Callithrix jacchus: one gene and its partner. The protein of the gene in region 2 interacts with the protein of the main gene of each other region in a pairwise test. Links are inferred from orthologs where the notes say so. Each region holds a gene or a part of one and is shown on either strand. Other genes may lie near its edges.

Region 1 (3,648 bases), on a different chromosome or scaffold from region 2:
ATGGAGCGGGAGCTAGAGGTTGGTTTCCACAGTGTTCCAAGAGGGGTTGGCTCTGACCCTCACCCCTCACTCTATGTGCTCAATAGCTTGTGGACACAATAGGTTCTACAAATGTGGAAACCACCCCGGATCATGAGACATGCAACAGAGCCTCAGGCAGGGGGTGGGGGGACCTGGGCCGGACCCTACCTCCTGGCAGCCCCAAGCAGCCAACCTCACATGGGAATATTACAAAGAGCAGCAGAGGCCTCTCAGGCTCCAAGCTGGCTTGACTCTGATGCCTTCTCCCTGAGCAGCACTCTCGAGGGTGCAAACAGGCAGACTTTCAGGCACACTGCACCAGCCAGAGACATCTGCTCTGGGTTTGTGCTAGTCAAAATCCCTGAACGGATTAGACAGTTGAGCATTTGGAAAGAACTCAGGACTTCCAAGGGACATGCTGGGGTCAGTGAGGACTGAATTCGAATCCTGGCCTCATCCCAAGTGTCCCCATCACAACATTGATAATAATCAGGAAAAGCAGCCACCACCTGTTTCAACTGAGCATAACTGGGTACAAGGGCCCTGACCACTCAGGGGGGTACCTCCCACCCCAGGCCAGTCTGCTCTGCTCTGATGTTGGTCACCAGCATTTATCAACTGGGGTGACGAGACCCACCAGGCAAGGCAGCGCAGTCACACAGGGTCACTGGGCCTTGGCACAGCCGGCATCTGGCCAGGCCGTCCGCCAGGGGGCACTGTGGCCACGTGGCCAACCGAGCACCTGACTTACTCTTGAGCTTCTCCAGCTGCATGAGAGCCTTGTCCGTGTACTTCTGTGCCTTCTCCAGGTAGCCTGCCTGCATGGAGTGCATCACAGTCACCTGGCGACAAGACCAGACAGCAGGGGTTACCAGGGCCCTCTCCCTCTCCCTGCCCCCGCCCCCAGCCCTGGCCCTAGCAGGACGCACCAGGTAGACGAGCACACACATGTGCTCCTTGGGCAGCCAGTGGAAGAGGTCGGCGGGGTTGCTGGGCAGGATCTCATCGTCGTGCAGTGTGGAGATGGTCTGGATACACTGCTGCAGCTGCTTCAGACACGGCTTCACGCTCTTTACCTGCGCAGCACCCACACCTGAGTGCCCACCTGAGCCTGGCCTCTCAGGAGGCCAGGCCCAGCCCAGCCACCCCTGCCCCTTCCTCCAGGGAGCACCTGCCTTCCCCTTCTGCCATGGCCACCTCCTGCAAGATGGACCCACCCCCGCTGCACTCCCATGGATCAGCTGGGCTGTCAGGGCAGGGGCAGGGCCAGGCAGGCAGCTATGGGACTGAAGTTTGTCCACTGCCCAGTGCTGGGCCCAACACCAAGGCCCAGGAGAGGCCTGTCCAGACCCTGCTGGAGCTGCTCTTGCCCTTCCTGCAGCCAGACCCAAGTGCTTTGCAGGGGGTGGGAGTCTCGCAGGCGCTGTGGCTCTTACAGACTGACCCATCTCGTCCTGAAGCCCCGAGGGACGTCTCTGCAGCCTTGGCACCCCAAGAGAAGTGTGGCTACAGTCTGCTCTGTGTCCCTATGTGCCAAGTGCAGTGCTTCACCCAATGGGCAATGATGGGTATGGATGGGGGAACTGGGGAACCCCCTTACCAAGCCCTGTGGAGAGGCTTGCCTGCAGCCCATGGCAAGAGGGGTAGGTCTGAGGGGCACAGAGCAGCTCCCAGCCCCTGAAGGGTCAAGGCTGTCATACAAGCAGAGACAAGGAGCTCAAACACAGCCGTTCCCCACCCACAGTAGGGTCACAGAGTCCAGTCTCGACATGGCTGGGCACATTAGTCCCTGCTCAACCCCACAGCAGGGGGACCAGACAGATATCACTTGAGCATCTGCTGTGTACAGGCACCACCCCAGTGCATCCATGCTTTATTCTCATGATTCCCTGAACTGCAGTTGGAATCTCTGAGCGTCCACATGCTGAGTGAGTATATGCAATGTCACACATCATACTCCCAAAGGGTGGGGTGGCCGGGATAGACCTTGCTTGCAGGCACCACACTAACACACCAGGCAGGCACAATGGTGCCAGCACTCGCACCAGAGCAGGCCAAGAGTGTGTGTGTCTGGGGCTGGAATGACAGCCCTGCTGTGTGACAAACACAGCTGACCTCACAGCCCAAGACCCATTGGCCTGGGTGCCACCCATACCCACTGGTCACAACCAGCAGCTCGCCCGAGAGGCGCCACGCACCTGCCCGGCATCCAGATAGTGGGTGACCTGGAGCACCAGGAAGAAGACACGCAGCGACTCTTTCTGGATGGGGTTCCCCTGCCAGTTCTCCACGATCTGCCCACAGAGGGTCAGCAGTGGGTGCACCTCCTGCAGTTTGCGCTCCATCAGCAGCAGCTGGGGAGGGAGAGGTGCTGGCATGGGGTGCGTGGCTTGCAGGGGCCCTCCCTGGACCAGGAGCACGGGGCTGCCCACCTGCCCTGGGACTGCTGCCACCAACCCAGAGGGCAAGGCCAGCCTGAAACCCCGGCCCAGACAGCTCCTAACTAGGATTCTGCCTCAGCATGAATCCCACTGGGCGGAGCCTGAGCTTCCCTCCTGAACCCTGCAAGGCCCGGGCCTCACCCTCTAGGCTGCTCACTGTGCCTGAGGGGCGATGCCATGGAGAGCAAGTGGGGTCGGAGCAGACTCTGTGGGGGCCCTGCCTCACCTCCACAACACCAGCCGCATCCAGCCATGCCCAACCTCAACTTACCATCCCCTTGCTGAGGAGGAACAGCGCCCTGCAAAACAGAGGCGGGGGTCAGGTCCCGGAAGACCCAGGGGCCTCCTGGGATGACTGTGACTGCCCCAAGGCTCACAGGACCTAATGTGCCACCTCGGGGGACAGTTCAGTGGACAACAGTGAACAGTCCCAGATGAAGTTTGTTATATTTACAAGACTGCTCTATTTTATCCTATTATATCTATATTTCTTTTTTTTTTTTTAGACAGAGTTTCGCTCTGTCACCCAGGCAGTGGTGTAATCTTGGTTCACTGCAACCTCTGCCTTCCGGGTTCAAGTGATTCTCCGGCCTCAGCCTCCTGAATAGCTGGGACTACAGGGATGTGCCACCACATCTGGCTAGTTTTTTTATTTTTAGTACAGATGGGGTTTCACCATGTTGGCCAGGCTGGTCTAGAACTCCTGACCTCAAGTGATTTACTACACCTAGCCTGTATTTATTTTTCTTGAATGGCTTAGATGCACTCATGTCTAAAGTCCAGAAGGTGGCCGGGTGCAATGACTCATGCCTGTAATCTCAGCACTTTGGCAGGCCAAGATGGGTGGATCACTTGAGGTCAGGAGTTTGAGACCAGCCTGGGCAACATGGTGAGACCCTATCTCTAGAAAAAAACTTGGCAGTGATGGACACAGAGGGTGGGGGCCAGTGGGCAGGCTTGAATGTCAGGCTCAAATCTGCACCTCATAATTTTTATATTTTTTGTAGAGATGGCATTTCACTATGTTGCCCAGGCTGGTCTTGAACTCCTGGGCTCAAGTGATTCTCCTACCTTGGCCTCTCAAAGTGCTGGGAATATACTGTGAGCCATCGCACCTGGCCTGAAATGCCATTTCTGTTCTTTGTCCTGGACCAAGATGGTCAAGCCCCTTCTATGTTAAGAGAGC
Region 2 (3,648 bases):
ATGGCACTTTGTAGTCCTCATGTAATGCAGTAGGTAAATGCAAAGAAATATTGTGACTTCTCTTTATTTTTAAACTACATTTCAACTTGCACAATACACACTGTTACAAAACTTCTGGGACCTTTTTGGGAACTGGAAAATATGTTAATACTATTCTGAAAGTATGATAAAGTTTTACAGGCATCAGAATTACACCCTAAGAAATTCTTATTCAGTAATGCTACATTTTGTGCAAATACACAGTTGAGCCTGCGTATTTAAAAAGTTATGTTGTTCTTAAGGAAATTTAATCTGTAATTTCTTTAGTCACATGAAAATATTCAGATTACAGAGAATTAGAAGGCAAAAATTACTTTATGGGACAGAATCACAGGAAAAAAAAGTTTAAATTTTAAATGTACAATTTAGATTGGAAATTTATATGATAAATTGCTATTTAAGATATATTATAAATCAAAAACTATTTTGATATTTAGGTTCATCAGTTCAGTAACAAGTCAACAGAGATGGCTTTAAGAGTGGCATCTCTTGATTACCTTGGAACTGTTGCTGCCCGGCTGAGGAAAGATGCTGTTACAAGCAAAATGGATCAAGGATCTATAGAACGCATTTTAAAACAGGTACTAAGATAAAGGATTAAAATTATGGGAGTAAATAATAGTTATATTCTTTGGATGTCCTCACATTAGTTTCACATTTCATTTTGTAGATTCATAATAAAATTTTTACTTCCAAAAGTGGGCTTTTCAAAGCTCCAGTGAGAAATTTTAAGACCGGAGAATGAATTATTTAGTCTAACAGGGACTGGTTCATATAAATCTTCAGTTAGTTTCTTTTTGTGAAGTACTGTTAAATGTATAATGCAGGCCAGGTACAGTAGCTCATGCCTATAATTCTAGCACTTTGAGAGGCCAAGATGGGTGGATCACGAGGTCAAGATATCAAAACCATCCTGACCAACATGGTAAAACTCCGTCTCTACCAAACATACAAAAATTAACTGGGCATGGTGGTGAGTGCCTGTAGCCACAGCTACATGGTGGTGCGTGCTTGTACTCAAGCTAAGGCAAGAGAATTGCTTGAACCCGGGAGGTGGAGGTTGCAGTGAGCCAAGATCGCAACACTGCACTCCAGCCTGGTGACAGAGCAAGACTCTGTCTCAGAACAAAAAAAAAAATGTATAATGCTTTTTATGTTTGGGTTTACATAAAGTTTATTCAAATTTTTTTGTTGTTGATGCTTTTAAAGACAGAGTCTCACTCTGTCACTAGGCTGGAGTGCAGTGACAGGATTTTGGCTCTCTGCAACTCCACCTCCTGGGTTCAACTGATTCTTCTGCCTCAGCCTCCTGATTAGCTGGGTCTACAGGCATGTGCCACCACGCCCAGCTAATTTTTGTGTTTTTAGTAGAGTTGGGTTTTCACGATGTTGGCCAGGATGGTCTCGATCTCCTGACCTCATAATCTGCCCCGCTCAGCCTCCCAAAATGCTGAGATCACAGGTGTGAGCCAATGCACCCAGCCAAGGAGAGCTTCTTTATACTTTATTAGAGAGTTTTCATCGTGGAGGAAAAAGTGTTTTATTGCTTCTTCTTTTTTTTTTTAATGTGGACGAAGTGGTTAGTAATAAATTCCTTGAGAAAATTGGTGCGGAAATGATTTCTAATCCTACTATCTACAACTACTGTTTTCATTTTTTTTCTAGTCTTTTTTTATGTTCATAATCATATCCATGTTGGTAGAAATGCCTCTAATTTTTTTTTACTACGTGTTTTGAAATAATTTCAACCTTAGAGAAAAGTTGTAAGAACAGTACAAAGAACTCCCATAAATGCTTCTTGCAAATTTCTTAATTATTGATAATTTGTAAAATTTGCTTTATCATCTTTCAAAATGTAGATGTATGTGTGTCTGTATATGCATTTTTTTTTATTTTTTTCAAACCACTTGAAGTTAAGTTGCAGACGTGATTCCCTCATTACTCCTGAATTCTCTAATGTAGTGATTTTCAAAGTGTGATCCCCTTGACATGTAGCACCAACACTGAAATCATTTTGGAACTAACAAGTACATTTCTAACAAAAATACAAATTGTTACGACCCTCCCTGGACCTACTGAATCAAAAATTCTTCGTTTAAGAAGCCCTCGAGGTGATTCTAATGAATGAATGCTGAACTTGGAGAGCCACTGCTTAGTGTTTATTTCTGCAAACAAGAGCTCTCACTGAAATATCTATAGTACAATTATCAAAAGCAAAAAATTATCAGTATTATGTTAACGTAATATAATACCTACTCTAATAAATTATAATTTGTTGCTGTCATTATTTTAATGCTCAAATCATCCTAGATTTGATCAGTGAGAACCCTCTGAAGCTGGCTTTTAAGTCCCTTTGCTATGTTCCCATCATAATTTGAGTTTCTTTCTAGCACAAAAAGATGTTTCAGACAGATCTTTTACCTTCCCTACCCCAGCCCTGGGATCAGCTGTTTCTCCTAGGAATCTTGGTTCCTTTTATTGGTGAATTGTAATGTAGAAACCAAGATCCAGTTGCTGAATGACTTTTTGTATTTCTTAGAATGGGTCTGGAACCTCTTATTGCCATGTATGGCTATGTTGATTATCCACAAGGGGAAGAATCATTTGTCAATTTTTATGGCTCTCAACACGTATTTCCAAAAGCAAGTGCTTCCTACCTCTGAGGAATAACACATTGTTCTGATCATTTTTATGTCAGCTACCTATGAGCTCTTTAAAAAAAAAAAAAGACATGAAGGCAGGCCGGGCACAGTGGCTTACGCCTATAATCTCAGCACTTTGTGAGGCCAAGGAGGGTGGATCATTTGAGGTCAGGGGTTTGAGACCAGCCTGACCAACATGGTGAAACCCTGTCTCTACTAAAAATACAAAAATTAGCCGAGCGTGGTGGAGCACGCCTGGGGTCCCAGCTGCTAGGGAGGCTGAGGCAGCAGAATTGCTTTAACCCAGGAGGCAGAGGTTGCAGTGAGCCAAGATAGTGCAGACTTCACCTATCACTATATAATATTTTTCAGAAATATTTCTCTGTTTTTTCCTTTTAGTTACTGTGGTTGTGTTTTTATTTTTAGAATCAGTCTTTTCTCAGATTTGTGTTTAAAATTAGATGATTTATTAAAGTATACCAGTAATATCTTTTTTGTTCTTACTTGGTTTATTCTGTAGGTTTCAGGAGGGGAAGATGAAATCCAACAATTACAAAAAGCATTGCTTGATTACTTGGATGAAAATACTGAGACTGACCCTTCACTAGTGGTAGGATTCTTTTCCCCTTTTTTGGAGATATTACATGTTTATTTAAATTGGGTTTAAGAAAATTGGGAGGTAGCATGATGAAGAGGAAAAGTTGTTTGGAATATTGATTTTTGAAACAAAGGGATACTTGATAATCTAAAGAGAAAAAAATGCTTTGGGTTGATTTGTCTTATATAGAATTCTGGTTACAGATACTGCGCTGTACTAAAATTGTATGATAAGAGCAATATTTGGAAGTCTTTCCATAAGGGATCTTTGAGACTAGGCTAGGTCCTCAGAGTGAGTATGGGCCAAGTGGTACGTGAGATGATCTGTAATAAGCCTGTAAAAAGAAATTATTAGATTTTTATATGTATA

What was found. The genes of interacting proteins can lie anywhere in the genome.
Region 1: the proteins of NIPBL (region 2) and MAU2 interact in binary tests that used the Homo sapiens proteins (3 or more experiments, as listed by UniProt). The link is inferred for Callithrix jacchus from reciprocal best matches to the Homo sapiens genes NIPBL and MAU2.

Annotation. Positions count from the first base shown.
Region 1 is NC_133523.1:18,018,835-18,022,482, reverse strand, and holds part of MAU2 (MAU2 chromatid cohesion factor homolog), read right to left. Parts: intron 2,762-3,648; coding exon 2,734-2,761; intron 2,376-2,733; coding exon 2,220-2,375; intron 1,098-2,219; coding exon 951-1,097; intron 864-950; coding exon 773-863; intron 1-772. UniProt on the Homo sapiens protein: Plays an important role in the loading of the cohesin complex on to DNA. Forms a heterodimeric complex (also known as cohesin loading complex) with NIPBL/SCC2 which mediates the loading of the cohesin complex onto chromatin.
Region 2 is NC_133503.1:168,571,150-168,574,797, reverse strand, and holds part of NIPBL (nipped-B-like protein), read left to right. Parts: intron 1-476; coding exon 477-620; intron 621-3,201; coding exon 3,202-3,291; intron 3,292-3,648. UniProt on the Homo sapiens protein: Plays an important role in the loading of the cohesin complex on to DNA. Forms a heterodimeric complex (also known as cohesin loading complex) with MAU2/SCC4 which mediates the loading of the cohesin complex onto chromatin.